Linked DNA regions of Drosophila melanogaster. The protein of the gene in region 3 purifies or fractionates together with the protein of the main gene of each other region. This does not show direct contact. Each region holds a gene or a part of one and is shown on either strand. Other genes may lie near its edges. The genes, in order: CG2852, CG7668, CG10265 and fabp.

The links.
Region 1: the proteins of CG10265 (region 3) and CG2852 purify together in Drosophila melanogaster (affinity purification with mass spectrometry, with the first as the bait; one large-scale study listed by BioGRID). This does not show direct contact.
Region 2: the proteins of CG10265 (region 3) and CG7668 purify together in Drosophila melanogaster (affinity purification with mass spectrometry, with the first as the bait; one large-scale study listed by BioGRID). This does not show direct contact.
Region 4: the proteins of CG10265 (region 3) and fabp purify together in Drosophila melanogaster (affinity purification with mass spectrometry, with the first as the bait; one large-scale study listed by BioGRID). This does not show direct contact.

Annotation. Positions count from the first base shown.
Region 1 is NT_033778.4:22,641,237-22,648,465, reverse strand, and holds CG2852 (uncharacterized protein), read left to right. Parts: upstream 1-2,121; 5' UTR 2,122-2,194; coding exon 2,195-2,284; intron 2,285-2,420; coding exon 2,421-2,545; intron 2,546-2,931; coding exon 2,932-3,334; 3' UTR 3,335-3,820; downstream 3,821-7,229. Other genes in the region: CG34445 (uncharacterized protein), read left to right, coding at 13-272, 333-477; CG34446 (uncharacterized protein), read left to right, coding at 703-888; CG30195 (uncharacterized protein), read left to right, coding at 1,257-1,435, 1,491-1,773; Ugt317A1 (UDP-glycosyltransferase family 317 member A1), read left to right, coding at 4,659-4,661, 4,813-4,974, 5,036-5,123, 5,180-6,516.
Region 2 is NT_037436.4:20,001,159-20,008,727, forward strand, and holds CG7668 (uncharacterized protein), read left to right. Parts: upstream 1-1,577; 5' UTR 1,578-1,759; coding exon 1,760-1,834; intron 1,835-2,144; coding exon 2,145-3,205; intron 3,206-3,258; coding exon 3,259-3,391; 3' UTR 3,392-3,676; downstream 3,677-7,569. Other genes in the region: Tom20 (translocase of outer membrane 20), read left to right, coding at 9-138, 203-278, 692-1,001.
Region 3 is NT_033778.4:14,990,531-14,997,505, reverse strand, and holds CG10265 (uncharacterized protein), read left to right. Parts: upstream 1-3,670; 5' UTR 3,671-3,754; coding exon 3,755-3,994; intron 3,995-4,077; coding exon 4,078-4,860; 3' UTR 4,861-4,983; downstream 4,984-6,975. Other genes in the region: pcs (parcas), read right to left, coding at 6,433-6,975.
Region 4 is NT_033777.3:11,559,435-11,570,539, forward strand, and holds fabp (fatty acid binding protein), read right to left. Parts: upstream 7,621-11,105; 5' UTR 7,554-7,620; coding exon 7,484-7,553; intron 5,678-7,483; exon of another isoform or gene 5,381-5,677; coding exon of another isoform or gene 5,350-5,380; intron 5,278-5,349; coding exon 5,006-5,277; intron 4,938-5,005; coding exon of another isoform or gene 4,887-4,937; exon of another isoform or gene 4,624-4,886; intron 3,859-4,623; exon of another isoform or gene 3,666-3,858; intron 2,863-3,665; exon of another isoform or gene 2,767-2,862; intron 1,772-2,766; coding exon 1,640-1,771; coding exon of another isoform or gene 1,418-1,639; intron 1,359-1,417; coding exon of another isoform or gene 731-1,358; 3' UTR 462-730; downstream 1-461. Other genes in the region: CG10898 (uncharacterized protein), read left to right, coding at 1-95; sea (scheggia), read right to left, coding at 731-1,358, 1,418-1,743; Mrp4 (multidrug resistance protein 4), read left to right, coding at 10,324-10,400.

The DNA.
Region 1 (7,229 bases), 7.7 Mb from region 3:
TGTTGAGCGATCATGACGACAACGCTGCCGGAGAAGGAAGCGGAAACGCAGCAGGAGATCAGGGAGCGGGAGGCCAAGGCTCTGGAGGACCGAAAGGAGCGCAAGATCTACGAGAACTTTGCCACGCCCCTGGCAGGCACTTTTCTCAACCTGCCACGCGAGCCCGTGGAGATCGAGTGCCCCGCCTGCGGAATCAAGGATCTGAGTGTGGTGCAAAATGATCTGAAGTGGTGGGCCAGTGAACTAAACCGCATTGTGGGATGTCTTTTTGTGTAGGTTGCCTTACTTTCTCCTATTTCTTGGAAACGTAAACTTATAAAATACTTTTACAGGACCTTCTGCTGCTGCTGCTGCTTTAATTACTATGTGCCGTGCAAACAAACCGATCGAAGTCATTACTGCGGCAATTGCGGCTGTTACTTTGGACGTTCCATGAAGAGGAGGCAACCACTCAAATTGAAGGCAACCACCGCCTAGGCAGCATTGTTCACATATTTATTAAAATTCTTCTAAACACTCAATTTCCCACCCACTACTGCAATACCATCGAAACAAAAATAAAGCCAAAAATATCACATTTTCTCTTTTTTGGGCCGATTTTTTTCTCTTTGCATATCATTTGAACATTTTATTCCTACAATTTCTCTTCGCTAGCCTCAGTCTGCGTTTGTTTTTAAAGCAGTCAACATCTTTCGGTGCGAAATGGCTCAGGATCCGAAACCACTTTACTTTGCCGTGGGCCCCGGCCCCAACGACATTACGTGTCCTTATTGCAGGACCAAGGCCAAGACCCGTGTGGTGCGTTCCTGGCTGCGTTGCTGCACCAAGAGGCATCACTGCGGTGCCTGCGGGGAGTACCTGGGCGTATACCGCCGTCCACAACTTTAGATACCCACTGAAGAAGGATCATCGGATCCGAATTATTATAACACAATGAACAAATGTAGATCAGTTTTGTCATTTAATTTATATTCAATAATAATAATAAATATACTGCTGTTTGAAACGAATAAAAGTTTACTATTTAATGTGTAATGCTCAAAATGTACACTATACTTTTTACACTGTACATCCAATGGCATTTGTAACGCAGAGAGAATAACTCATTTGATTTCCATGCACTAACTTAATTACCAGACCAACGCCTCGGTTAAGAGAAATCGGGAGAGTGATTCTGATTTTGATTTTCCCTCCCATGATCTCTCCAAATTTGATCCATCTTTCAGTCACCGATCGTTCTCGCTGGAACTCGCATCATGACCGTGGACGAACCGCAGATTGTGGCCATCATTGTCAGCCACAAGCCACAAGTGGGATACCTGAAGGAGGAGCCCACCTGGATCCGTTGTCCTTCGTGTGAGAAGTCTGGAACCAGTTTGGTGCAACTGGAGTTGGTCACTTGCCTGCAGAGATTTCTGGGATTCACAAAACTTTGGTTGGCCATCTGCATGAAGCTTTATAAATCTTTCGTAATGTTCACTTTATTTCAGTAAAAAATGGTCTGGCCGCCAGGACATCAATCACTATTGTTCACACTGCGGTTGCTTCATTGGAAGATTTGTGCCCATCAGCTGCATGGAACGATGCATTTCGAGATCAGCCCGTAAACAGGCGGCCGTGGATGATATGACCCTGAAGACACGACCCAAGGATTGCGCTGAAAGGGCCCAGAAATCCAGGGAGAAAGTTCTGGCCAGCAGGGAGAAGAAGAGAGCAGAGAAGGCAGCCAAGGATATGGACAAATCTCAGACGCAAATAGCAGTACACCAATAAATAAAAGCATATTTTTTTACTTACTTTTTGTGTACAGAACCGTCAATAAAACAAGAGAGAATGCTACGTGCTAATGCAAACTGGACTTCTAATCCCTAAAATATTAAAAACTATACCAATAAAGTCAACTCTTCGAACTTACTTTGTTCCTTCGTACGAAAACCTTAACTTATGCTTTCGGCGTATTAACTATTTGAATTTGAATTTTCCGCCCGAATGTGTGATCATCAGACATCGTCATCGAATGGTCACACTTAAGCATCGATATTTCGACAAAAACATAAAAAACGATGGAAAACATCGATTGGCGATGCAACAAAGTTTTCTTACATCACTAACAGAAACCGAAAATTCAGTCGTGAAATATCCATTGGCGACGTCGCTTGAGGAATAAACTGAAGCGCTGTGAATATTTAGAACGATGAAGCTGTTCTTATCCGTTTTCGTGGTAGCCCTGGTGGCCGGCGTCGTTGTTGCCGACGATAGCAAGGGTCCCAAAGTGACCGAGAAGGTGCGTGCTCCTTGGACTTTCGTCCTTACATTCTGCATACACCACGTACATACACACACAAACACACACACACATTTGCTGCGCCATAAATCAAGTGAGATGACTTGTTAATAATAAACCGCTTCCGATTGCGTAGGTTTTCTTTGACATCACCATTGGCGGCGAGCCCGCTGGTCGCATCGAGATCGGTCTGTTCGGCAAGACGGTGCCCAAGACGGTGGAGAACTTCAAGGAGCTGGCGCTGAAGCCGCAGGGCGAGGGGTGAGTAGGGTACTTGAGTACCGAAAATACCCCAACATAGTAGGGTGCCAGGTACCGCTAGGCCAGCAAAAGATGCCGCTAATCAGCGGCACTTTGTAGGTTATAGCGGGGCTCTCAGATTGAAGCAATTACGTGGCGTTTGAGCGGCCAATCGCATACATCAGTTGACAAAGCGGCACTAATGGGTTAACAAAGAACGCCAACTGTTATTAAGTCTACCATACTATAAAAGTGCAGTTCTTGGGTATTTCTTTTTTCTTCTCTGAATTTATAAGTATGCATGTTCTTTTTTGGTTAGGTTTCGAGTTCTAAACCCAGTTTTTTTTTAAATTTAAATTCCCATGCTGACAAAACTGACCATCATGCAACGCTCTTATACCCCGCAGCTACAAGGGCAGCAAGTTCCACCGCATCATCAAGGACTTCATGATCCAGGGCGGTGACTTCACCAAGGGCGACGGCACCGGCGGTCGCTCCATCTACGGCGAGCGCTTCGAGGATGAGAACTTCAAGCTGAAGCACTATGGCGCCGGCTGGCTGAGCATGGCCAACGCTGGCAAGGACACCAACGGATCGCAGTTCTTCATCACCACCAAGCAGACCAGCTGGCTGGATGGACGCCACGTCGTCTTCGGCAAGATCCTGTCGGGCATGAATGTGGTGCGCCAGATCGAGAACTCGGCCACTGATGCCCGCGACCGTCCCGTCAAGGATGTGGTCATCGCCAACAGCGGCACCCTGCCCGTTTCGGAGGCCTTCTCCGTGGCCAAGGCCGATGCCACCGACTAAAGTGTTTGGGGAGCATGTCATCCATCAGCAACATAACCGATTTGAACTAAGCATAAACGCATAATCGATTTTTCCAGACATTTGCATTTACCATAGCTCGCCATGTTTATTTACATTTCGTTCCGTAAGCAAGTAATTGTGCTCAACTAAAAACAGAAATGGCATAAATAAAGAATGATTTTTTGTGTGATAAAGAGCTGGAATCGTTCTGTGTGTCTATACCATGATGCCGGTGGTGTGCAGGTTCAATGAACCGGTTTTGGTTCCATCGCTTTCTTTTGGCTCTGACTTCCCTTAGTGGCAACCGGTTTGTGCCTTCTTCGCCAATTTGTTTGCCTTTGTATGTTGTGCCGTTCTCGATTTAGATTGCCCATGTTCTGTCTGTTTTTTCTCTTTGTTGTTGATAAACAACGCTCGGTTCGTCACATTTTTCTGATTTGCACACTTGCGACAAATTAAAGAACACACAGACGAGTTCATTTGTATATTTATTCAGTTTGTTTGGGCCTGCTGGGAACTAATTGTATATGATTGAATGAACAGGTGCATGACTGTCTCTGCAGAAGTTAATCGGGTCGATTGATACTTAAATAAGTGCCACTGGCTCATCTTTCGATCAAGTATCCTGTTCTTTATAGAAAGTTTCCTTTCACAACCCTTGGACTAAATATTGATTACTATATACATACCATACTATACTATCCCATGTATATAGAGGTGAAAGCCCGAAACCAGCCCTCTAGTAACTAATTATATATAGCATAATTTTTCAGATCTCAGACGCTGATGAATTGGCAACTTTTACAATTAGCGAATGCACTCAAATGCAACAACATTGTCTAGAAATGCATATGTCTGCCAATCCTTAGACTTCACGTCCCCCAATCTTTTGTTTAGAGCGAGAGAAACCAAGAACTGAAGAGACGATCTCATATCGTTCAAATGTGGGGAATCGTATATGTACATATATATGAAGACGTACATATGTGCAATTGTACCCCTTTCACAGACCCCACAATCGCTGTGTATACATTAATGAAAGCAATAGGATCTATATGAAACGCATGTGTATTGGGGTCTGGTGGCAATCTCATGTGCCACACATGTTCCAGTGACCACAGAAATTCTGGACGTACTTCTAAGATTATATTCCCGAGAGCAATCAGTTGAGTGTTTTGTTTTTGTGGGGAGTCAAGGCGCTGGGAGCGATAAGTTCAGTCTCATTCGTAAACTCAATACAACCGGAAGAGTTTACCGGCGAATGCAATTGCATTACGGCCGGAACTTAAGTATAATCCCAAGCTGATCGTTGATAATAGGGAATATGGTTGGTAAACGGATGCAAGAAGTTCTAGAAAAAGTGTCATCCAAATAGTTTCGAAGCTACTGGAAGACAGATAAGAAGAGATTGTCTTTAATTCGATGATGTGTACTTTCGGAAATGACCTAATTAGTTGTGTGTATGTTAAACCATATAGGAATCTCAATGGAATCGTTGGATCTTGCTGGCTATTTTGGGACTAGCTCTGGGCCAGATTTCACAGGCAGCCAAGATCCTGGTACTGTTTCCCCATGTCAACGAGGGTCACTTTGCGGTGATGCGGACTCTGGTCACCGAGTTGGCCAATCGCGAGCACACAGTAAGTGGCAGTGCTGTCGTTTAAAACGTTTAAGAAATGAAAAGAATGTTGTTTGAATTAGATTGAAGTATATACCGGTCATGGTTTGGGAGAATCTCTGGATAACGTTACCGAAACGGTGACAGCGGAATTTCCTTTTTGGAGCGAATGTGAGTAGGCCGTCTGGAGAAGATTGTTCACGAAGTATAGCAATATCCACATACAGTGCAAAAACAGGCGGCACCCAAGGGAAACCTTGCTGATCTTGGACTCCTGCCAATTGAAAAACTCCGCCAGTCATTGGCCAGCGTTGGAGCGCGTGCTTTGGACCACTTCCTCGCCCAAGAGCCCATCCAAAAGCTGCTGAAGATGTCATATCTTGAGTTCGATTTCGATGTGATCCTTGTGGACTACTTCTACACAGAGGCTTTGTTGGCACTGGGAGCTCTCCATCAGCGGCCAGTTGTAGGGATTATTTCCACGGACTTCGGCAACTACATGGATGCCGTACAAGAGGCACTGGTACCAGCCGCTTGTTCACCCATCGATTTTGAGCGGGATCAACCTGAAATGAGCTTCTCCGTACGATTGGGAAATATTCGGACATGTATTGCTCGCCGTAAGCAGTTCATCAAGGATCACTACGGCGGTCAGGAGCAGTTGGTGACCAAGTACTTCCAGCTGCAGAGCTCTATCCCCGAGCTGCAGGCCAGCCAGCTATCCGTGCTGCTGCTCAATAGTCATGTGCCATTGATAACTCCCAAAGTTAGTATCCAACAGATAATTCCCGCCGGTGGACTTCACATCCGTGGTCCCAAGGAGCTGCCCTGGAATGTGAAGCGCTTTCTGGAGGAGGCGCGTCCTGGAGCCATCTACGTTCAACTGGGCAATGAGCAGGCTTGTGGCCAGCTACCCAAGGAGAAACTCGACACTCTGTTTGCCTTCTTCTCCGCCAGAAAGCAGAGCATAATCTGGACCTGTCACGACGTCAAGACCCTGGAGGGACTGCCAAAGAATGTGATGATCCAGCATGCAGTGCCGCAGATAGACATCCTGGCGCATCCGAGAGTCAAGGCTTTCCTAACCAATGGAGATCTGCTCAACCTGCAGGAGGGCATCATGCGGAATGTGCCCATTCTGGGATTGCCCCTATTCCAGCATGAAGCTCGGAACATGGAGCTAGCCGTGCGATTAGGAGTTGGCCTACAGCTGGAGGAGGGCAATGTGACAACTGAGTCACTAAACTGGGCAGTGGACAGGCTACTCCTCGAGTCACACTTCCAGTTGACCATCCGGGATGTGTCTCTGGAGTTCAGGGACCGTCCTCTTGGCGCTCTGGCCAGCGCTCTCTTCTGGGTGAACTATGTGGCCCGGCACAAGGGAGGATCGGCTTTGAGAACCCGAGGCATTGGGATCTCCTCCTGCCAGCTGCACCTGTTCGACCTCTTCGTGTTCTATGCCGGAATAGCTACTTTAGTCGTAAGCTTACTGGTGGCCCTGAGTTTTGGCGGCTTTTATATTTGGAATAAGAAAAACAACTCCAAGTCGACCAAAGTAAATTAGGTTTAAAGTTTTGAATAAAGTGCATTCTGAGCAGTTTTTTATGAAAAATAAGAATGCATTCTCAAGAACATGAATGAAAGAAAAGCTGAATCATCAGAAAGTTGGTTGCTGCCATTCAAGAAAGTCAAGATTTGTTGGCTTCTTTTTCGTACAAAATAATAATTATATTAATTATAATTATAATTATATTGATTTGGGAACAAAGAAAAATAAAGTTGACCAAAACATGTTAATAGCGAATCGTAACTCAATTTGGCGCTCAAAGGAAAAAAAACTAATAAACGTAAATTTGTCATAGCTTTATGAGTAGACTATTGACTAATGCTTATTGGGTATTTTGATACTCGATCGATATTAAAATAGGTGATTTTACAATTTAGTGTATTGAGATTAACATAACTTACTTAAGATTTTTTATTATTCAAATATACACTACGATCTGGCAACAACAGTTGGACGAAAAATATCGATAGTCTTTAAATATCGATAGTATCGAATCATCGCCATTTCTTCCATCTCTGAAACGGCCATCTTCCTTTCTAATAAATCGCGTTCGCAAAACGACGTGTTTAAAACCTTTTCAAGTGTTTTAAAAGGTAAATTACTCTCAGAACTGCCTAAAAATGCAGGCAAAGACCGCCACCAAAATGCTTATAGCTCCGTGATTGAGGGCAGTGTCCGTGGACGGCGAATGAGCGCAGAAACATGTCACA
Region 2 (7,569 bases), on a different chromosome or scaffold from region 3:
GTAGTAATATGATTGAAATGAACAAAACTGCAATCGGCATTGCAGCGGGAGTAGCTGGAACTCTGTTTATTGGATACTGCATCTACTTCGACAAGAAGCGCCGCAGCGATCCCGAGTACAAGAAGAAAGTCCGTGAGCGTAAGAATCCCCATTGCGCCCCAACTGAATTATGAAAGAAACTCATCATTTCATCACTTCCTAGGTCGCCGTCGCAACAAGAAAACCGGCACTGCCAAGTCTGGAGTTCCCAATCTGAACGACCATGAAGCCATCGAAAGGTAGGACACTCCCATGGGAGTCGCATTATATAATGTGGCACGTGTAGTGGTGCCTGGCGATTCAATACACCTCCATTCAAACAAACAAGCCCACATATGTTTCTCCAGCCAAATCGATGTACATATTTTATGTGGAGTCCCATTACACTTGCGTGTTCATCGTGTTGCTGCTTATTGCCTCAGGCATCTAAAGACTCCACTGCCTTGGATTAACAAGCACATTTCAGTGTTTGGATTCTCAGCAGGCTTCCTGCCAAGAAATTCATAATTTGAATATACAAATAGTTATTATTGTTGCAACTGTGCACAATTTATATTATTTATATGCACCTAATTTGCCTGGCATTAATTTAATTCGTAATAGTGTGCATCGAATCAGCTGTTCCAAACTAATTAAACCATGATATTTGCAGATATTTCCTTCAAGAAATCCAGCTGGGCGAGACCCTGATCGCCCGCGGAGATTTCGAGAGTGGCGTGGAGCACTTGGCGAATGCCATCGTCGTGTGTGGCCAGCCGGCTCGTCTGCTGCAGGTGCTGCAATCCTCCCTTCCAGCTCAAGTATTCGCGATGCTGATCGTCAAGATGCAGGAGTTCGGCAATCGAGCGGCCGAGGGCAACGACGGGCCAATCGTTTTGGGGCAGAGCTCGGAGCAACAACTGGACGGAGCCAAAATTATAGAGTGTTCATCTGGAAACGCAAGTATCGACGACCTCGAATAGTACTTGGAGATGGCTACAGAAATTGAGATATAAATTTCAACAGTAGAAATTAAGGGCTTCACATATAAACATTATATTTTTTTTATATATTGATTTCTCTGGATGTTCCCAATACATACAAATAAATATGCGTAAACTGTTAACACTTAACAATTGAGCTTTGTTTTGTGCGTGGTATTTACGTTAGGCGAATATCAAAGATCAACTCTGCAGACCTAAATGTTTTGCAATATGTATGTATAACAGGGTATGTGTTAAAGTGTGTGAAAGTTTATCAACAATAAAAGATTATTAACATGTTGAATATCTTGGGAATAAATACATATATCTCCTAACCGGTTTGATAATAAAGGTATTCCAAAGTTTCTTTGGTATTTAAATATAAGTGATTATTTATAGGAAAAGCGTACTACTGCCATCTAGGCAGCTTAATCAAATGAGAAATGGTTCTTATACACTTATTTAAAGCAATAGTTTGAAAATGCAAAAGTTCCTTTTCAAAGATGATACCCAGTAATTAAATTTACGGAATACCCCCTATGCCATGTTCTAGCCGGACTGCGTAACTCCCTCAGTCCATATCTGGTAACACTTAGAGCTAAACAGCTACGTGCAATTCATCGGATTTTTTTGTATTTTGAGTTGTTACAAATATAGGCACTTGCTTTACATCTTTAAATTTATTGCACGGATTATTGCAAATTCCGTTTGGAGTGCTTTTAGGTACGATAAAACGTGGTGCTGATAAATTAATCCCCATGAAGCCGGAGGACCAGAACAACTTTTCTCAGAATTCGCGATCCTCTCCAGATTCCAGCACTGAGAACAATTCGGTGAGCAATAAGATTTTTCTCGATTCTCGTTACTTACATAGATAGAGAAGAACGTGTGAGAAATTTGAAAATTCTTTTGGTGTATTGATATAAATTCACAAGTAAAATAAAAATCAAAGACACTAAAATAATAATGTCTAATGTCTTTATTATTCTAATGTCTTTGATAAAAACTTTTCGCTTTATATGTACTTCCCCAAATTCCGATTCTAGTGTCTTTGAATAGACTCAGTCAGATCCGATAGTGATCGTAATCATGAATTCATGCACATAGTTCTCAGCGAATATTGTATACTCTTTCGTTTTTCAGAGCAGCAGTGATTCGGAAATGGAATTTGTGGGCACAAGTGCACGGGGAATGCTGAAACATAAGAAAAAAGATGAGAGGAAAATATCGGAACTCACCCGAAAGTTGGCGGAGGCTGAAATAAATCTGAAGGCCCAACAGGAGAAGGGCAGTATACTTGAAAACTGCATCAAGGATAAGGATGATTTTATTAAGACCCTGCAATTGTCGATTGACTTAGTAACGCAAACAAAAGAAATGACCATACAGAAGTTACAAACTCAAATTATGGACTTGCAAAGTGATCTCGACTTGAGTAGGATTACAATTAAGAAGAACGATGGAGGAAATTGTGCTCCAGCGCATGATAAAGTTGTGAAAGAACGAAAGGAGTTAAATATGGAAAATGGAAAATTTCGAGAGGGGAATGATCAGATTGTTGAAATCGAGAAAATTTTGAACTCAAAAGAGGCGGAAATCGCCAGACTAGAATTCAAAATTGACGAGTCGAAGCTAAAAATTGTGCAATTGGAAGGTGCAGTAAAGGCGAAGGACGAAAAGATAGTGAAAATGACAGAGATATTGTCTGAGTATAACGTTAATAATAAGGACCACGATGAATTCGTATTACTGGGCTCTTCCAAGTTGCCTTCAATTAAATTGGTGACACTACCTGATTTCGAACCCTTTGCCTCAGTTTTCGAGGATATTCCTTCTGCCGGTCGTGGTTGGATGATAATCCAGCGTAGAATCGATGGCAGTTTCGATAACGCCACTGAATCAAATATAATAACGGGCTGTGGGGATTTGGGTGGCGAGTTCTGGCTTGGCCTACAAAAATTGCATAAAATGACGACACATCGACGAATGGAACTATATATCCAGCTCGTCGATTTCGACAATGCTAGTGCTTATGCAAGATATGATAATTTTGTTATTGGCGATGAAAAACAGAAATACAAACTGCTTTCCCTTGGCGAATACTCAGGAAATGCTGGCGACGCATTTCGCAGTCATATAAACCATATTATTGTTGGAAATCCGTTTGCAATGGAATCATCGAAATGGTGGGGTACAATGAACTGGTATGTATGAACTTGTTTTTGTTTAATGATTTTGAAAAATAATTCTTTTTCAGTAACTTGAACGGAAAATATCGGAATTCCAAAGTTGAGTTGGACACGACCGATGGCATTTGGTGGGGTAATTGGAATGTTGGTAATAGATATCCCCTGAAGTCGTGCAAAATGCTAATCAGACCAATGCCGTGAGCCAAGTATAATGGCTTGTCAAATAACATTGTCACGGAAATAAAAGTTGTAAAATAATTTCTACCTGTTCATTTTCAGCCTAATTATTGTAGAATGTTAAGTTTTAGTGTCGACCAAAGAGTGGATAACAGGCTTGAAGGTCCTATAAATGCTGTATGCTGTATTTGCAAGTAAAATCTAGCTTCGCTTGGTATTTTTTTTATCGTAATAATACCGACTTTGTTATTTTACGGTCGAGGGAAATTTACATGAAAATCCCACCAGATGGCGCGTTTGATAAAATCGATTTTATCGCAGGAATGCCGTATTAAATTGCCCAAGTTTCTATAAAATATAAATATATTTTGATAAATAGTAATAATAATACATAATAGAAAAAAAAAAAATAAAACATAAAAATCTGCAGAAGGCAACAAATTGCATCTAACAGTGAAGTGGAGCATTTTCCTAGCCTCACAAAATATTTAGCAATAACAAATACATTTGTCTAAAACATGTAACAAGTCAGACATATGCATGTTCTCCGCAATAAAGCTGGGATATTTTTACCAGAGAGGGTCAAAGGACTCAATAACAGAAGGGGAAATAGGGGTGCTCCATGCTCAAGCTGGTCCGGATGAGCTCGAAGTTGCTGTTGGAGGTTGCAGCTGGAGGTTGCAAGCGCAGGACATGGCCCAACTCGTTAGGACCTCGAAACGAAAAGTCGAATCAGTTGAATTTCTGTTCTCATTGACTGCGGTTTAAGTTGCTTTAAATCGCAGTAAACGGTGTGCGTCGTCGGTAGCAATTGAATGAGAAGGGAAAGTATGTTTCAATCGAAAGTCGCGTTGTTCCGTTAATATGACTCGAGCTTAGGCGACGATACGCGAGTCGATAAATGTATCTGCGCCCATACGCATTTCCAGTGCAAGTGATGTTTATCTGTAAAATGCAGAAATATGTACGTATTCGTGTTGTGTGCCACAAATACGTCCGAGTTGACCAATAGTCCACGATAATATTGCTTTACATATAAGTGTAACAGTGAATTGGGGTTGCATAACCCCCTGTGGTGATACAGATAATGAGAAACCAAATATATCCAACCAAAAATCAGTGGAATAAACCACAACATACACCTCCGCACAGGAAACTTCTGCGATGGTCTGGGCTACATTTCTTGAATTGCGAAGCCATTGCAATGAGGATTATGGGAAACCAAAGGGTTCCATTCCTTGTATACGTCCTAGTGATTTGTGATATTTTTAGGGGGCATCAACCTTAATTGACACCCAAATATATTGCCAGGGATCCATGTTTTTAATGAAAACTATAGCATTTAAATAAAGCTGTTTCCAAATTTTGATACAGTTTAAAGACTTTTTTCACATATCAGTTTGATATGTTCCTTTAGAAGAAACCAAAGCAACAACAATATTGTAGGCGAACCAAATAAATAGGACTTCATTTTAATTAGTTAAGTGCTTTCTTTAAAATTGCACTCGACAAAAACCAAAATATTATTTTTTATAATATCTCCATATTACAAATTTTGTTGTTATCTTAAATGCAGCCCTTTAAAACGTAAGATAAAGAGTTATTCGTGAAGGAAATTATTTTGTTTCAGAATTTATTTTTATTGGCGAACATACAAATAATTTAAACATTTAATTAGTCTTGACAATTGGTTTTGACCACTTGTTGAAAGGTTATTAAAGCGATTTTTTTGTATTGTTCGAAAATTTTGTATTTATTAGACAAAGGCCTCGCTTAAATTCGTGTCAATTCGCGCTTAGCAGTATAATCGATCTGGAAATTATCGGCTACGCACTATCGGTGCTGTCATCGAGTCTCGCAATATTCGATTCTTGCAATCGATTTTAGCATTTTCAAGAGAGAGCAATAGCGGGCGGAGTTATCGGCGATCGTAGTTAGTGGTGCATATGTACATGCAGCTGCCAATTAATGTGAGTGTGTAATCCGCGTCTAGAGTTCCGGAAATCAGAGATGAATGAAAATACAAACCGATGAAAGTGATCGCCCCCGAAGTTACCGAGCAACCAGCGAAAACACCGAATATTAGATAGTTCCAGACAAGTTGTGGGATCCACTCTAAATTACAAAGGTATACACACATATGTACCTGAGTGCGTTTGTATGTGGACCAAACATTTTCCAAAAAGATATATCAACCGAGAATTGTGCATTTCTGTGTTTTAAGCCAATAAAATACCCAGTGCCAGGTGCACGAAGTTTATCACGGCGATTCGGAGTGATGTGTGTGCGTGTGTTTGTTTACTTACCTTATCGGAAAATTAGGCCCACGAAAAAGAGACACATGTTATCTTTGTACACCGATGTGCTATGTACATATGCATCGCCTATGTATGTATGTAAATGCTGCACTGCTATGTAAAAATTGGAGTTAGTGCTCGTAATGGTGTGACTTTGTGGACTGATTTTTGGAGTGAGAATCCAGAAAAGCTAAGAAGAGTTCTCAGACATTGCTTCTGAATAAACATTAAAGTTGAAAGCACTCAGTGATTCACATGGCCTGTGCTCGCTAACCCGTTTCGACTTCTTTTCATGCCTTATACATATGTACATACATATGTGTGTATTAGGGTCTTATTACTCATATTTACCTACGCGCCGCACCAATTTCGCAACCTTCACGTTTTCATGAATCGAAAAGTCGAAAATCTCGTAATTTCCACTCCCAACATCCCAACAAGTGGCTCCCTCAGTCAAGTGATTATGCTGATCTGCTGTGCTAGTGAAAATTCATTTTAAAAGTGTTACCTTCACGGTTCTTTAAATTTGTAAACAATAAATTTGAGACTTGAAAGCGACGTGTTATGAAAAATATTTCAAACACTTCTTTTATTCAGTTTTATAGGAAAAATGAAGCTTTACTTTTCACACGATTGGTTTATTAGTTTTTCTTATCTGGCAAAGGTGTCAAGTAAGAGGGCTTTGTGTCGTACAACCTAACTACATGGATATCAAGATATGGAGAAATTCCCGTTCCTTGTGATTATTTACAATTTGAAGACCATCCAGAATGTAGGGCATCATTACATTATAATTCGTTTGGAATTCGAGTAATTTATGGTGGCATTGGTAGGCTGTGTCTAAAATATTACTAATGAATAAAGTTCAAAGATAACACAAGTGCAAAATGAGAATTTCATGACATACACCCGTTTATCTTCAGCAGTTTTTTTTAAATGTTCTAAACGGTTATTGTCATATCATTCTATTACATTGAATTCTATTCGTGTTTCCTTAAAAGTGAATAAGCCTTAAAGATAGAAAATGTTTTGTTTTTGGAAGCAAAGTGAATTACATTAATCACGCATTTTCGAGCCAACTAATTATAGAAACTACTATAAATGACATCAGAAGTGTGGCTGATAAGCTGGTCGTGCCCCTTTAAAAAAAAAATCTAGGTCAAATCGATTGCGGAAGGCTTCTCTTACAATTTTACTTGACGCCCAATCATCTTTTGGGAAAAATTTAAATTTATGCTTGTGCCATATGAACAAGCAGTTTTTAAGAGTGACATTATTGAAATGTACTTATAATTTTACCTCTTTGTTTATTTATGTTATAATATTTACAATTTGCTTCATTTGTGCACAATTCTTAAGCCTTAAATCAGGTACATTGCAAAAGTTGTTAAGCTTAAACACTTATTGTCAGATTGAAAGGAAGGTGAACAGTGGCGCAAATTTGCCAAAATTAGAAGCTGAACAGTTCACTTAATAGACGACTATTGTTGCTGGTAGATATAATCGGTTAGACAAAATGGAGCACTTTAAATCAATTATGTAGAAGAAAGATTGCAAATTCCACCAAACGTAGAGATGCCCATCTCGTCCGCCGTTTGAAATGCTTTCCCATCATTGGAGCATTTCCACATTTTATGCGAATTATATGTATTATGTAAATGTATTATGTACCATAAAAAATGGTTAAAACTGGACGTGTTAAATAGCCGAATATTTGATTTCGCCTCGCAATGAGTGATTTACATTACATTGTGTTGTGCCTATCTGATTAACAATTTGTTTAATTACGAACATTAAAAAATTAAGATATTTCCTCGTAGGTCGTTAATATTTAAATCCCTAATTCTAAATTGAGCTTAAACCAATGTCTTCGGATGGGATTACCGAATTCGGCTTTGAGAAAAC
Region 3 (6,975 bases):
AGTAGTTATATACAGTGGTAGCAGTAGCCGTAGTACTGGCCATATACCATCCATACCATCGCTTTTCAGATGTGCAATTATTTCGGCTTGCAAAATATTTAACTGCATTTCCTATTGATTTTTGTGCTTTGTAATCAAGTTGCCTGCGAGGCAAGCAGGAAATTGCCGATCTCCTGCAATTGTTGTGCCCCACCTAGATGGGCTGGTTGGGCTAGATGGCCCCGGTTCCATTGAGGACGACTTGCTTCGGATATGGCCAGGAAGTTATCTTCCCCCGAATTCCATCTACCTAAGTCCGCCAGTTCGCCCGAACTCAAACACATGCCCCTGTCAATAGACGAGGTCCTGTGGAAATGAGCGGTGGGGTAGGGGGAAAAGTTCTATGTTCCATCGGTCCATCGTTTATAGCAATTTCATTTGACTTCTCGTTTGTGTTTGCCGTCGGTCAATAAATGAGCGTAATATTTGGACTTTGATTCCTCCGGCTAAACTGACGACGGTGAGACAGTTGCAACTTGCAACTTGCAGCTTCCAGGTTGCTAGTCACCAGTCACCAGTTACAATTACCAGTTACCAGTTGAAAGCCCAACAATGCCCCCACATATATTACTGGCAAACTTGGTCCGTCGCTTGGGAAAAGTTGGCCTAGAACACACAACCGTGTTTGTCATTGTAAATGTGGCCATTAGTTGTATTACGCAGCAGAATTTGTGGCGTTCTTAATTTTTAACCCGCACCAACTAAAGTCAATGAAAATATTAATATTCTAAAGATATTAATAAATAATTTTAATCTTAATGCTCCATCTAAGGTAAAACAACTAACTTTTGTTCTCAACAGATAATAATGCATAGTGTTATCCCATTTTAGGCATGATTTTTTTCCGTTTTGTAATTATTATTTATTGTATATACCAATAAAGTAATTCACAGCTTGCTAATTGAAAAGAGTAGGTTTATTTTATACAAGCCAATGGAATGAATAATTCCGACCATGAAATTAAATGGCAGTAAAGCCAAGACGATTTGATAATGCCCACAAATGTGAAACCAAAAGGACGGCACTGTGTGTTGCAATCAATGTTTTTGTGCACTACTTTCAGATGAAAAATGACATTTTCTTGATGCTTGGCTTAAGTGACAGTACAAGTGTCGGGCGAAGGTGCTTGGAAAATGCCTGGAAAAGCCACTTGTCCGAACTTACTTAACACATGGCGACACAACTCACACATGCACACACTCTCGCACACAAATACACATACTGTGACACACTATATACATATATGTAGTTGTGCAGCTGCGGAAAGTATGCAACATTTTTGTACGAAAACGTGGTCGCACGGCCAAGATGTTGAAAATAGTGCCAGCGAAAAGTGGGGAAGAGAACTGTGATGGGGTGGCCTTAGTTAATTCGCAGTCCACAACAATGCAACAGCAACAACACCAACATCAACAACAACAGCAACAACAACATCTGTGGCAATTGTAGCGCCAGCTTTTCTATTGTATTATGACAGCAGCTGCACCTGCAAGTATGCAGTGATTGTGATTCTTTGCTTTCATTTTTTTTGCTAGTTCACTCGGCTGCGAAACCCCTTGAAAAACAGTAAACAAAGAGCAGGACAATAGTGGACGGGTGGTGGGTGGTGGGCGGCTGGGCGGACAGATGGGTAGGTGGTAATGCCCTGCCATGGCATGTGTTCATTGTCCAAGAGCAGTTCATGCCTGGTTACGCATCCCTATGTGTGTGTGTGTGCCAGTGAGTGTGTGTGTGTGTGGTGGGGTGCAGGACAGGTCGGGGGGCAGTTGGCATATCAACTGGTCGGACATGGTGTAAACACGTTTAATGTTGTTGCCATTGTCGTTGCCGTTGCCATTGCCATCGCATGGCTGCAGTTGCTCCTCCTGGCAAGCTGGCTGGCTGGCGAGCCCTCGGAGTCACGGAGCCATGCAGCCATGGAGCCATGGAGCCACCTAGCCACGGAGCTCGTCCTCTTCTGGCGCCGTCTCCTTTGCCACGTTTAATTTAATCTACTGGCCAAAGCTGCAGCCGCTACCTTGACATGGTCTGCACTTCAATCTGCATGCACGGCGTACAGTGGTGCCTGGCTATATCCAAACTGTTAGCAGCCAACAAGCTAGTTTCGAATTGTGTCTAATTTGTGTAGAAGCATCACAGCACAGTCAGGCGTTTTAAGGGAAGCTAATATCTTCTATTTAGGATCAGTACAATAAACAATACAAATAATAACAGTTATATACTTTAAGCGGTATCCACTGTAGTTTGCGTCCTGGCTGCTCGAGTGCACCGCAGGTCCATTTAACTTAGCTTTGGCAGTGGCAGTTAGTAGTAGTAGTAGTAGTGGCAGTGGCAGCGGCAATGGGGTTCCAGCTAGCTGGCCACCTTCTCCGCTTCCTCGACTTGGTGCATCACTCAAATGCCGGGGAGCCCCGCAGGCCCCCAAACGAGGCGACAGGAATGCGTGTGTGTAGCAGAGCGTGTGCAAGTATGAGTGTGGGCAACGTAATTTGCATGGTCAGCTTGCAGTTTTGGGACACACAGAGTGGCAAGTTGTGCCTCGCTCTCGTCCCTGGCTTAATTGCATGCAGGAATAGCAACTGCAGGAGCAGCCTCATCAGCATCGGCAACTTCATCCAATTGCCGCTGGAGCTGCGACCCACAGATCCATACAATTTCCGGGCTGTAAGCGATGCGGCTCTTTAAAGTTCACTTATTAAGTTGCAAGAATAGCAGGAAAATTCAACCAAAAGTGGGCCAGTTTGAAAAATATCAAGAATATGCCAACGATACTCACCTACGCTCTGCCGGGTGATTATGCTGCACGTGGTTCGACATGGTCCGTGCTCGTTATGCGGAACATTACAACAACAAAAAAAAAAAATTTAATATATATGTAGGTACGCAAAAAGTGCTGGATTTCCTTTTCATTTGTTTTCCACACACACTAGACAGACATTCGAGTTGAAGTCAAAATCAGACAATGTTCCCTCCATATGGCTCCATATCACATTGGTCGAAAAAATGGCAAGCTTACAAATGGCGCAGTCCCCGGCTGCATAAACGATGTCATTTTTTGGATTGCCCAATTTTTTTTTAGGTAGCTTGCGAATCATTTGCAAGCGATTTAATTTCAATTGCATGGGCGTTAATCAAAGGAAACAAAAGCCAACACGGGAAAAAGAACAAAGAAAACGCTAGTCCACTTATTCGACAATGTAAAAGAAAGCAGAGAGTTACTATTAATGCAGCAAAAAATGAGCAGGAGCAGTTCAAATAAAATCTTTCCAGTAATTTTCGATTCATGGACCAAAAACCGTAAACAAAAAAATCGTTCTATTTTACATAGTGAAAGTATGTTTTCATCTATTTTTTATCAATCTGAGCAAAACTACATATAAACATAAATTATTTATATAATATTTATATTAAATTATTCCAAACATTTTATTATACCATTTATATATCGTCATCCTTATCAAATCTTATATCTAAATGTTTTTTTTTTTAATGTGTAATGTGTTTTTCCTATTTGGTTTTTTGTGTGCTTTGAATTTAGGCGCGCAACAAAATGAATAGCAACTGTTTGGTATTTTTATGTCAGATTTTGTACCAACTAAAAATCGTTGACATCTACTACGTTTCAACGTCTGGCCACTCTGCACGAATGCAAAAACAAACTGAAATAATTTTTTAATACCATTTTTCTTCTTGGCGCGAATTGGCTACAAAAAAAATGAATGGATCGCGTAAAATAAAGTCCATGAAGACGATTCGCCTTGGCGACGTTCTATACGACGACCAAAAACGACTTCTAACGCTGTGCCGCAGCTGCGAATGCCACTTTATGACGCTCCAATCGTTCCAACGCCACCTAGCCGATTGCCCCGGAGTAAAATACATAGTAACGCCGATCGAACCGCTGGCATTTGATGATGCCAATCGGGAAACGAGACTGGTGAATGGCAGACAGGAGGTAGGCAGCTAAGGGAGCTCCATGATCCGGCGTTGCCCTGAAAACTTCCTGAGAATCCTTTTGATTGAACTCACTTCTTGCAGATTCACATCTACGACCTGGAGGCGGTTAAGAAGAACACCAACACGGCCATCGATTGGGAGGCAGAGCTGGAGGATCCACGCTGGTACACCAATCCCAAGCCCACCGTGCAGACCATACCAAAGACAAATTCCAAGGAAAATATAGTAAAGGAGGATGTAGTGCCGCTCGCCAAGGAGCCTCAGGAACCGGAAGGGGTGCCTGCGAAACGTCCGCGTAGCCCTCCCACCACCCGACGTACCATTCTGACCTCCCAGCAGCAGCGCAGATCCCGTGCCTGCTTGACTTCCCCTCAACCGCCAGCAGTAAAGATGAAAAAGGCCATCATTCTGGTGCCCACTGTGCTGGAAGATCTGAAGCGATTGCAGGACACGGAGAAAAAGGAAAGGATTCCAGAGGCACCACCAGCTCCTGTACATCCTGTAAGGTCATTGCAATCTCGTGCTACCGGGACAACGCAGTCAACATCTCAATTGGTACCCATGAAATTTTCTCCTGCATCGAAGCTTATTATACCAGTCTCTTCAAGGATATCTGAAGTACCAGAACCTCCCAAGACGCCCGAGAAACCAGTTCCTACCATAACAAGCAAATCAACTCCTCCATTGGATGGCACCCAGAAAATCCTAAACAAACTCAGAGCATGCGGTGTGGAGGTGAAGCGAGCAAGTACCCAATTGAATGCCACGACTGAGCTAAATCCAACCAAAAATCAAGAGACCTTGGACATCATGAGAAAACTGCAATCCAAGGGCATCAGATGCACCAAAGTAAGAAAATCGTAGTTGTATTCGCCGTAGTGTAAGGATGGTGCCATTAAATGTGCCTCTGGAGGCGAGGATTTAGCAATATAACTTTATTTAATTTAAATGGAGATTAATAAATTCCCGGATAGCGTTTATAACTTTAATAGCAAGCGAGTCTCTTTATTATCAAATCGCTTAATTTTAAATGTTTTATTTTGGTTTTTTTGCTCAAGCAGTGTGACCTTTTGATGCGACAACGTTATCGATTTAATATATCGACTATACACTAGTGGTGGCTATTTAGCTTATAAATGTATTGAACTATATTAAATAATTAAAACTATATATCACTCAAACAATGCCGTTTAAATACTTTGAAGACGGTAATCACATGTTCCATACAAAATGTTAACAGTCCTAGCTTTTTTTATGTTGTCCATTTATGTAGCTGAAAAGTTGGCATCACTGTGTAAGAAGAAGAAGCAGCTTGTTGATTTTTGGTGCCGCACGCGTTTCGGTCGAAAGTAATTGGAAATATTTGTGCTTGCGCCCGGCGTTATATATATTTTGTAGTACTCGAAACACTGCCGAATCCAAATCCAAAATTCGCGTGTGCACACCCACCTGCCGAGGCGGTACCAATTAAAAGGTAGGTCAGCTGACGACGATGGCAGCCAATTCGGGCTTACATAATTTGGGGACAGAATATTTATTTTGCCACCTTAGATTTGGCATTCAATGCAGTGAAAATGACATCATTTTGAAATTTTTAGAACCGCTTGTGTTTTGTTTGGTGAATTTTATAATATTTGCAATATTTCGGCTGCAGTTGCATCATTGACAGCGAACCTTAAGTTTAGTTCTCTGTAAAGGTCACCAAGCCCAGACTTAAAAAACAGATGTTTTTTAACAATCTTGGTACGTCCCACTACTAAAGCACTTATAATTTAATATACATTTAATCCGCCAGTAAAACACCTATAAATTTGAATTAGAATTCAATTTTATTCTCATTTCAAGTTTCAATATTATTTCTATTTCAAATACTTGTAGTTCATTTCCTTACTTAACTCTCGGGCACCGAACAAAACTGCATTGCATTTTCCTTTTAATAATCCACTACATTTAGCTTTGAGAGTTTCAGGCTTAATTATCTAATTGAATTCGTTACATTTCGACACTTGTTTTTATTCAGAGTTTCATTTTCGTGGTATTTTTAGGCTAAACTACTTAGTGCATGTGCCCATTTGAATTAAATTAGTGAGTCTACCTGGGTTTATTAGTTTAGGGTTTTAACATTAACTTAAAGCTGCTTATTGTTTGCATATCATTCAATCCTTTTCTTTTTAGCTCTCTCGAATCACAAAACATTTACATAGTTAAAGTATTAACAGTGAGAAACATATACGGAGACAATAGATTAGAATGTAATCAACATTTATACGAAAATAGTTGGTGTTTATATCCTGTGGGTGTAGAGACTTATCGATAGTGGTGCACATTTAAATGCGGCGTTCAACGTTTTACAATTACTTTTCATTATTCATTTAATATAAACAAATCTGATATGGGGCTGGCTGAAGAAGTCTCCTCTGGCCCCCTAGTTGCTCACTATTCCAGAGAGCGCCTACGCAGCGTCTTGCGCACTCCGCCGAAAGCAGCACTGCTGCGATCCAGGAGCTCGTTGGACAACCTGGCCAACAGGGGCAACTCCCGCATGGAAACGTTTACGGAGGGCAAGGGCGCCAGTTGCTGTTGCAGCTTCTTAATGGGCGTGGGCGGTGCAAGGTGATTCAGCTGGTGATGGGGTGTGACTGGCAAGCTGGCTGTGGTGGCGCAAGAGGTGACCTTCACCTCGACCACATCGCAGTGGCGTTTCAAGGCCTCGGCGCCCAATGAATCGGGTCGCTGTTCGGTGGACTTCAAGCGGTTCGTTTGCTGCCTTTTGGCTGTTTCTTTCAGCATCATCAAGTGATCCAGCTTGTCCACCGTGGCCTTCAGTTCATGCTCCCACACATCGTTCTGCTGCTGTCCATCTCCGCCCTCGATGGGACGCACCGCCAGGATCTTGACCTTCTGTCGCAGCGCCTCCAAATCGCGTTCATCCACTACACCTCTGAGCTCCCCGGCTCCCGTTTCATCGTAGTCGCAGGC
Region 4 (11,105 bases), on a different chromosome or scaffold from region 3:
GCATTTGGCAGGAACTGGGTGCGCCACTTGACGAGATGCTGGGACGTATCGTCAGCAGCAAGAACGCATCCATTCCGCTGAATGTGGTGCGCTAAAATGCCTTAGACTAGAGTAATCTGTCCTTATTTATGGTGCAAGCAATCTATCCGTTGTTAGTTGCAATTAAAGATAGCAGATGTCTGCCAGATGTCCGACTGTAAGGCAAATGTTTCCCTCCTTGGTGCTAAATAGTGAATTACGTAGATAAGTCTCTGCCAATCTGTCATAAAACGCCTAGAAGTAATCTTAACCTCTTAACCCATTCCCCTTTCTTGGTGAAAGATCTAATCTGAAGTTTACTCGTTTGCGTAGCCTAATCTATTCTAGAGATTTACTTAGAAAACTGTTTACTATTATATAGTACCAATTAAAATATTCACGTTTTCATGCGAACTAAATAATCCAAAAAGCCTTACCTATTTCATCCAGTCTAGCTATGATTTATATGGGAACTTCAAATAGACTCTTCAGATTTAATTCAATTTTTAAAACAAGCTGTATAATTTCTATAGCCACTTACCCATTGCGGGTATAGAGTGTATATAAAATGCTTTCTTGGAATATGTCACAAAACTAGAAACTATTGCAACAGTCGACTAGGGAACAATGGGAACAGAGGAAAATGCACGAGTGGGTTTTTTGGGGTAGAAGGATGAACTAAGTAACTAAGTCGCCAAGCCGAATCGCCGAGTTACACCCACACCTTGTTGAACAGATCCATGAAGGAGTCGTAGATCATAAAGGTGATGGCCACATCCAGGCACACACGACCTAATCTTGGCACGGTGCCCTTGTAGAAGGCGGCGGGACCTTCGTTCTTCAAGATCTCCACCGCACAGTGGGCAGTGTTCTTGTATTTCGATGCTTCCAGACCCTGCATCCTCGTCTTGACCACATCCAGCGGCGTATTACCGAACACAGAGGCTGCTCCGGCGATAGCTCCAAACACTCCAACCACCAACTTGGGCACTGGCTTCGTGTGATCGTCACCCTTGTACAAATCCTTAAGGGACTCCAGTACGAAGAAGCGAATGGCCTGGTTGGAGCCCTGTTTCAGAATGGTGGGCGTTAGGCCCTTGTAGATACCAGAGATGCCCTCCGACTTGATGATTTGGCCAACGCCGTGGGCGAATCCCCTGAACTTGGGATTGCCGCTGCGCTGATCGTTGATGAACTTCACCTTGATGGTCTCCATCGGGGTCACTGCCACGATGGCCTCACATACGCCAGCTCCTAAGCCGCAAAGCAACTTTCCGGAGTTGCTCAGTTGTCCTCGGGAGTCCACGGCGTTCGATTTCAGGAATTCAAAAGCACCGAATCTGAAAGTTATCTTTTAATCAGCAAAACATGAACTATAACCAAAAGTTATATAACTTACCTCGCCGCTGACTTAGGAATGCTGCCGTAGACGAGCACACTGAGACCTCGGTAGAGACCCAGGAATCCACGTTCTCCCACCGTCTTCTTAACGCAATCAAAGATGCCGTTGTACTTCTTCGCCGCTCCCTTCTCGTCCAGCTGCAGTTGTGTCTTCACATACTCGGTGGGATAGGTGATGCAGATCTCGATGCCGCCCGTAATACCGCCGGCGACGATGCCCTTAAGGCCCACCTGGCCGCTGTCCGCAGCCGCCGCTCCGTGCTCCGTCATCCACGGACGTCGGCGGTACGGGCTGACAAGGGACGCGAAGGCGGAGCGATCCATGCTGACTGGGTGTTAGGTGGGGAATTAGCTGAAAGAAAATAGTAGAATTCATTTATTGTACTGAGTGAATTCCAGCTGATTTCTGTCCGATTGAATGTTATTTATATCCTATTGTTGTAAATGGATCAAAATAGACTCGTTCTGCGTGGGTGCGCGGATTTCAAAATATTCCCCAAAACTTGTATGAAAATATGGCATTTGTTCTTCATAGATAATGATATCTGAAGTATTCCTTATCATCTATTTAAACAATTTAACTATATCTGTGACGTACAATCGTGAACCGCGTATCTATGCGAATATCGACCTTAATTATCGTATTAAATGTTTGTTTAATTGCAGTTCTGCTCTACTAGTTATGCAATTTCTATGAGGAAAAGAATTCCACTTGGCTGGAATGGCTCCAGCGGGCTCCAATTTAAAGTTAGTAATCAATGCCATTATCATAGGTAACTTCCCATTGTATCGTTGACTCTCTTTTCCCCCAAAACATATTCATTTCACCTTGGGGACAAGGTTCGAAAACTGTGAACGAAGAGTCGACAAACTAACACAAACAGAGCGAAAAACCAAATGTTCGAAAATCTCAATAGTGATTACTTAAGATCGGGTGATATAGTCTGGGACGGTTTGAGTGGGAGCGGTACTATATCAATATCAGCAGGCTCGTTGGTTGTTTCGCTCTTTGCACTTGACAAATTAATATTGTTTCAGTGCGATTACATAACTTTTGCATGACCATAAATTATAATCGCACACAGTTGCAAGTTCATAATTATTCATTTTATGCCGCTGTTTAAGCCAATTTCCGTATCGGTCTGGAAATCTGGATAAACATAAACAATACCCACTGATAAGTCGGCACTGGAAAGTTTCTACCGACTTCCACACACACACACAGACTTCAAAAGCGGTTGATTAAGCCCACACCCACACACTCAAAGCGCACTGCTGTCTGGCAAAAGTCGCGCTTAATTTTTGCTCATGCAGCTTTGCTATCGGGTATTGTTCTCTACTACTCACATTAGAATTCAAAAAACCGAAATAATTATAATTTTGGAAAGCCCAGGCAGCGGTGAAGTGAAGTGGCGATGGGGACAGCGGTTGAATCTCAACTGATCGGGGCTACGAAAAAATTCCATTTTCCAATCGACGAGCGAAAGCGATACAGTGCATCCCGGAACTAACGGACTTTGGATTTTCAGATCCAACAGTCAGCAGTCCGAACAACTCTATCCCAATAGATTTAAAATGGTAGATTCTTCTAAATATCAAACTTTTTGTAAAATAAATTGAATCGATAGACTGAGCACGCTATTCTCTATAGTTCACTGCATCAGGGGCGCACTGTAATTCCAATGGTCGGCGTTTTGTAAACAACAGCACTTCAGCGGTATCCACTCTCCCCGCGCTCAGTAATGTACACAGTAAAATATTTCTATTTTGAAAATCAATCAGAAATTGAAAATAAAAGAAATGATACGTGGATCTATCTAGTAAACGATCCTAAACGAGTAACATACACATACATCAGTTCGATCCTAATAATGGAATATTAAGTTTCTAAAGATTGATTCCACATTGATAAAGGTATTTTGATAGCTATATAAGTGCGTTTCGATTACTTTATGGAGAACTTTTTTCTGTGCAGAGAGTGCGAAGAGTAGCGCCAAAGTAACGTTTTTTTGCTGACACCGCAGTGAAGATCTCTCTTTCTCTCTCTAATCGGAAACCCGTTTGTCCAGCAACAACAAAGTGGACAGAGCTTTTGGGGCGGACTGGAAAAGCTCCGCTGAAGAACAACAAGAAGAACATTTGACTTTAAATTTTGAATGTTAGGTACGCCGCAAAGTAGACCAACATTTTTTCTTTAGCGATTACACAATGAGTTCACACACACACAATGCGCGTAGCCTACGCACACCCACGCGGTAGTTTTATCCAGGTTATCAGAGCATTTAGTGCTACACTAATAAAATCGATAACGGCGCTTTTGCTTTTTAATTTATAACGCCCAATTGACCAACAATTAAGTGTCTACTATTTACCGACTGACGCAACTCGGCGTCATGCGGATACACGTAGTTCTAACGCCGCCGGCAAACGACGAATGTTAACAAAAAAAACCCGGCGAAAGTGTGGCCGTGCTGCCAACTGTCCGCTGATAACGTGTGCGCTTGCGCCAGCCCCCAAATGCAGCAGATGCCACCCACCCACACTTGTGGCACGCACTTGCAACAGACCCCATTCACACGAACAGTGCAAAAGCCCCAGCAGCATTGTGTTTTATACTCAATTAGCAAGAGCAAATGCATCGCAACGGAAACGGAAACGCGTGGGCAGAACATCCGCAGCCCAAAAGCAAATCAGAGACCATTCAGACTTGTGCCTCTTCTCTTTATACATACAACTTCAATAAACGATACAATAAGAAACGATAGTAAGAAACATGCTTTCTATAACCCCAAAGGTGGAATTTCTTTTAACAGTTTGAAATTTGAAACTTTATAATTCATATCGATTCAAAAATATGACCTCCAATTGAAAATGTAATTGAATTTGGTATTCTCGATCCCTTTAGCCATTGAAAATATGACACCCTACGAATTTCGGGATCCTTAACGATAACTTTCAAGCCAAACTAAAATATCTGGCATTGTTCGCCTCACAAACAAGCCACTTAAAAATTCTTTTTTAGGTAGGAACTAAAATTATTTCGATGAAAACACGTTACTTGCTTACTCACAAAACCGTAAATTTGGGAAATAGTTGGAAAAATGCCAAAATATAAATTTATAACTAAAACTAATATAATTTTGATTGCTGTGTCTAAGCTTACATTTCGTCATTAACCTAAGCAACAACAAGCTTAAAAGCGAAGTGTAAAAGAAAGTCGGAATGTTTTAAAAGCACTTCAAGTAATAGTTTATTCAAATGCATTCGGAAATTGGTCCCCGAGTACGAGGAGTATTCCCACATACACCGACTGCGGGTGTACGGGTGCGATTATAAATTAACATTGGGCAGAGCGTGCAGTTCCATTTGATTTGGTTTAGTTCACTGTTAGTCAACAAGAATATTGGCTATCTGAGTTAGTTTTAATGCATGTAGTCGTATGGATATTATAGTTTTAGATCAGTCTCTTAGACGGCCTTGTAGACGCGCACGCACTTAACGTTGCCGATGGTGAGGGTCTGTGGGGGAGGCATTGGATCAGTTAGGTGGGTGTGATGATATACGGCAAGGTATAGTAAGCGCTTACGGTGATCAGCTCGTTGTCGGTGAACTCGCGGACGATGGTGGTGGGCTTGTCGCCCTTCTGCTCCTGCGTCAGCTTGTTGCCATCCAGGGTGATGATGCTCTTGACGTTGCGACCGTCCAGGGTCTCCTCGTCGAACTCAACGCCCAGCTTGAAGCTGATGGCAGAGGTCTTGAAGGTGGAGGTGGTAGTCAGGGTGTAGGTATCGCCCTCCAAGGTCACCTCCACTGTGGGGCTCAGGCTGTTGCCCATCTTGCGCGTCACCAGACCGACGCCTGCAAGTGGAAAGGGAAAAGAAATTAATGAAGTTCCATCTCACGAGAATGTAAGGAAATCAAAGATCGCACCGAAAGATGAATGATGGGGCAGACTGCACATAATTGAATTAGCCCAACAAAGTTGGGGACCCCAAAGCGCTCACAATGCAAATCATATCATATTTAATTAAAAATAATAAAGCCGAGCCATGAAGTTCCCTGCAGATTCCGTTCCGCTGTAACGTCAAAAGTCGTGCTCAAGGTTAACGAACAATGCGGGCCGTCGTCTCCTCCCTCATCCTCATCTCCGCTCTTATCAATTGGCAAGCCCCTCCATGCATTTAAATATAGATCTGGCAAAGCACCACCTTATCTCGGTGCAGCATTCCATATATACATATGTTGTTTGAGGGCAGAACTGTGAATATAAATGCCATTCAAGCAGTGTAAATATATATTTTACTGGCTTAAGTGGTCAAGATCCATTTTGCTGACGTTCCAAATCGTAAACCTTTGAAGTGCTGATAATTACCATCGAAAGATAAGCAAAGCAATTCCATCATTAAATGATAACTTAACGATTGTGAACAATCAATCGTGTTTAAGTACTAAAATTTGTCACTTAATTTTATGGGACTTGTAATTACTGAAATACTATATGCATGCACGTAGCTGTATGAGTAATTTTGCATTTATATTTTTATTTGAAAGAAGTTTCGCCAAATGAAACGTTGAATCAAAAACAAAGTGTGAATCACTGGTACCTTACGAATGTGCCAGCAAATAGGGCACATGTATTATTTCCAATCTAGTACATTGTCAGACATCAAACCAACAAGTGGTCCAATCAATTATGTTCAATTATGTATGGACCACCACCAACTTGTTCTTTTGTCCAGTGCCCTCAAGTCAAGTGTCAACTGGCGTGGCGCGATAAGTCGCCAGGTTCCCACTCATGGGAACCCAGCAACTGTACCAGAGATCGATTTATATGCATCGTATATGACAGGAGAACCTTGAATAGATTAGACTGGCCTGCAATTGCGAACCGTGGTCTATGATAGGGGTGGCTGCCCAAAGTGCAAAATCCGTAATCGCGCCTAATTATCGTGCCTTTTGCGACATTGTATATACTACAAATGTGTGTACATAAATAGGCATATAGTTTATCGCATTTATATATGTACGACAACTGATAAGTGCTGCGAGGCCCCAACGGCAGGTTGATTTTAGATTTGTTTGGGCTTGAAAATTGAGAAGTACGTGGCTTTCGGACCAAGTCTACCATTAAACCGAAGCCGCAAAGTGTGTAGGCGAAAAGTTCTGACGAACTGGTGGTCTGGTAAATAAATCTGGACGCCCGTCTCTGGTTACCAAATGCCACTAGTCCCTATGGCGCGTCTAGACAGGAAGCGATGGTATTGATCAGTTTTAGTGGCACCATATAGTATAATCACGATTGCAATAGAAATTGCACTTTGATCGGTAAGAGAGTCGAATGTGTCCTATATGTAGTTTATATCTGGTGTTTCATTGTTGTCTAAATTGACAGCCGGGCAAAGATCATCGCAGCTATAAAGCTTGTAGTCTAGTGCAAAGTTCACTGCGAGACTTTCTCCCAAAATCTAGTACACAAATAGATAAAACCTGTCGCAAAAGCTAATGGCACTATGATGATTTCGGTCCCATGGAAAGCTGACGGAGGTGACTCAAAAAAGGGGAGCAAAGTTCAGGCCCCACACTTAATTAGTTTTTGGGTTTATGACTACCGCAGATAACCATTTACGGATTTTATACTGCTTGTCCTCCGATTCGCAACTGTAAAGTTGAGAAAGAGGGTGAGGTGAATAACTGGAGCACGTTTTTATTGCTGCAGATGTGCATCTCTTTCTCTGGTCCTATTCTCTATTGATTTTATCTGACACACACATACGCACATCAGCAGATTCAATGAGGTGTCAATTTATGCATGTAGCTAAACTATTTTAACAGTCGAATTCATTCATAATCTTCAGTTGATATAACATTTTCCGGAAGACATTTACTTTTTTCCCTCTCGTTTGGCCAATGAAACTTTTTGCACACTAGTGCGAAAAATGCCGGCCGGTCGATTTTCGGTGGCGTGTTTTCGGCTTCTTTTCTCTCCCTCCACTCCCGCTCTCGCTCTCTCGAGCACTTTGGTTTTCTATTTTTGATGCACTGCGAATTAGTTTTGGCAACTTACCCAGCTCCTTCATGTACTCATCGAAGTTCTCGGACTTGTCCAGCTTGTACTTCTTGCCAACGAAAGACATTTTTGGAATATTTGGTCTGTGTTCTGCACAAGATGTTCACTGTTGAAATTTTCTGAGCGAATGAAAAGCTCTGCGGCGTGCCGGCTGTTATATACTTTCGCGTTGCGGCTACGGCATTGCCAGATGCAAGTTAATGGCCTCTCGCTCTCATTTGATTCGCTCTCGTTCTGCGGCACGGCTTTTGCACGTTTCCTTTTTGTTTGTCTCACAAATTAAAAATTTAATGATGTGGCATCGGCTGAGCATCGGATTACCAGATGCAAAGCCAAGTACAGCCGCCAAGGTATCGAAATGTCGGCGCCAAGCCGTTGGCGCTCTTACAAAAAGCAGCTTTTTTAGGCGCTCTCCAAAAAAAATATTAACGGTTCTATGGGGGCCACCACTCCCCCTCACACCGCATATTGGTAATGGATCGGACGTGTTACTGCCACCCAACGTCTGACCAGCTCCTCCTGCTCCTCCCAGCACCCAAGCACCTTCACCTTGGCGCGATCAATTGGCTGCAGCCTTAATTGGTTCAAAAGCACCGGCCTAATAACGAACGCCACATTGTCATGCTGACAATGGAACTGCAATGTATCTCGCATTATACAGTCAAAACTTGCCTATTTTGGCGCGAACTTTAAACTTTTCTCCGAATTTCAGATTACGCATTGGGAAACCCAATGTGTGCAAGTAAGGAAGGGGAATTTATTTGAAACCCAGACTATCTCACTTTGTAGTACAAAATTATTATTAATATAATATCAAGATTTAAAATTTTAACATACATACACACGTATATTTTATTTAAAAGGATATCCGTTATCCAGGTTTCTGAGTCTCGACTGTTCGCCCCCCATATATTCCGAATTAGTAGACTTTTTTCTGTGGGTCAGTGGCACCATTAAAAGAATCTCCCGAGCTTCTACATTTTACCAATGTGTATAAATAATTTTCGACACAATTCGTTTATATTATTGTTATGAATAACTCTTGATAAGTCGCCGGTGAATTGTAATCTAATCGAGGACTTCCTTCCACCCATGGTCAGGCAATGCAATATTGAGATTACCCACGATCTCCATAAGCCTGCCCATCCCGTGGGAGGGCCCACCTACATGGATACCGACTTGTTTGTTGCTAAGCGTTATCTTATTAATTCAATTAGTCCATGATCCCGCACCCCCCTCACCGATCATCCTTATTATTGCATTGATCGTCATAAATAAAAGAGATTACGGGGGTTTGCCACGAAACATACTTATGTACATAATATGTACTACATATATTATTTATGTATACCAATAATAAGTAACGTCTTGATCAATACAAAATATGATATACTCTCAGTATATCTTTATATATATACTTCTTAATGTGTATTATTTACTGGAGTGGAAGAGCCAGTCGAGCTTTTTTAGTTTCGCCAGTGACTTGAATTTGACCGACGAGATGTGGGCCCTCCAGGTCAGTCCCCGATTTAGATGAACTCCTAGGTAGCAGTGCGATGTGACATTGTTTCCATCAAAAGTCAGATCTGTGCAAGTTCCGGGCCGCAGGGTAAAAGTTACACAGGCTGACTTCGAGGAGTTAATGGCCACATTCCATTTGGCAGTCCATTTTTCGACTGCATGCAGCCATTCCTGGACTGCGTTGAAGAAACATGCATTTAGTCATTCGGAAACTTTAAAGCCCGAAAGTATGCAGCACAAAATCGTAATATCAACTTTTCAAAAAACCTCAACTAACAGCTGCGCTCAACTAGTGCGGTAAAGTAGTTAATAATAAAATTTGGATTTGTAATGGAATGGACAAATAATGAGACCGTGCAACAGCTGTTGCGTTTGTAAAACTTTAGATACAACATCTATTATCTGATCCTAACTTTATAACTACAAAGTCCAAAGAGTCAACAGCTTTATCGGACATGTTAGAATAATGTTTGCCAGCACCATAAAAGTGTCGTATCATTGTTACACGTTGGTTACTACTGCAAAGTGTCGCGCAAAACGAGGAAAATATAAGTTAACCTGCTTATCACTAGTCTCACTAAAGACTAAACAAATAACCCACAAACAAAAGAGATCGAGAATAGTGCTATGAAAGAGCGATATAAAGAGAGTGGCAAAGAGTCTAGTGTAATGGAGAGCCCACCAAGAGCATTGGAGAGCACCCACAAAGAGCGCTGATCTTAACCTGGCACAACACCTACCCAGAGAGTGACATGTATTTAAGGTGGAGCCCGAGAGCGGATCGGGTCAGAACGAGTCGGACCTTCGGAGCGAGCAGATAGTCGTGGGTAGAGTAGCGCGCAGTGCCATGTGTACTTCGATACGTTCGCGATAAGTAAGATGTGCTATGAACTAAATCACATACGAAATACAAGGCAATCTATGACGAAATACGCCTGCAACAGATAGAAATACCGAATATCTCCGCGTGAAGTGATCTTTTTTGGAACCGTGATCTCGCAGCAGCACTTCTTCCAATCCGAATGCCACGCAATATTGAAGTCTGCATTGTGCCAGTGGAAAAGTTTACTTCCCGCAAACGTGAATAGAAATCGAATTCGTAGATCGGAATCTGAAATCGCTCGCATTTCCATCTGGTTTCTCCTCGGCTAATGCCAAACTAATTATATTAAAATAGAGCGCGTGTCCCCTTTCGTATCGAAAAGTGCTAATCAACCGCCGTCGTCCAAAGGCAATCCCGGTGACCGAGCAAGTCCCCTGTACTTGTAATGCTACACTCTATATAGTGCAATTTAGCTCCAATCAGTGCAATCAGCATGCAGTCGATGAAAGCCGATGAACTGCCGGAGAATCCACGGGAGCGATCCAGTCCCCTCTCGTCACTTATGTTCTGGTGAGCGTAGAAATTATATCTTTCTGGGCATTTCGAGACTAAATTTTTATTTCTTTTTAATTAAATGGTTTGTCCAACCATCTCATTGCAAAAAGAATAGAATATATATATGTATATGTATGTGGGTTATAAACTTAATAGCTCTAATAGAAACCAGTTTACAAGTCTATTAATACACATATTCAAAGATCATGGCATTGTTAGTAAACTAAAATCGAACATTTTTTTTCGGCGCGATGATAAGAAAAAAGCACCCATTGATGACTAGTTTAGGTGTTATTTATTCATGTGCTTTGTTGTGTGTGTGTGTGTGGGGGGGGGGGATTTGGGGAGCATATAACGTGACAACACTGACAAGTTGATTATTTCATTCAATGGTTCGCTTAATTCGCGTGACCGAGGCGACAAAATCATTTTGCATTTCACGGGAGCTCGGATTCCCATTCAATTGGTTACCAATTGAGGGCGACACTTAGCTAAGATCCATTTTCAAAATTATTCCAGAGGAAATCTAACAGCGCTAGGTACAGAACTAGATATCCAAAGGGGAAAAACTGCTGACAAATGTTATGAATCATTGCGATAGAACACATAAACTTAAAACGCAACAAACTAATTTTGATGTACAGCTTCTGATAAGATTCCTTTTTGACATAACAGAATTTGTTTATCTTCGGCTAACGTATAGAGCTTTTATTTTTTGTT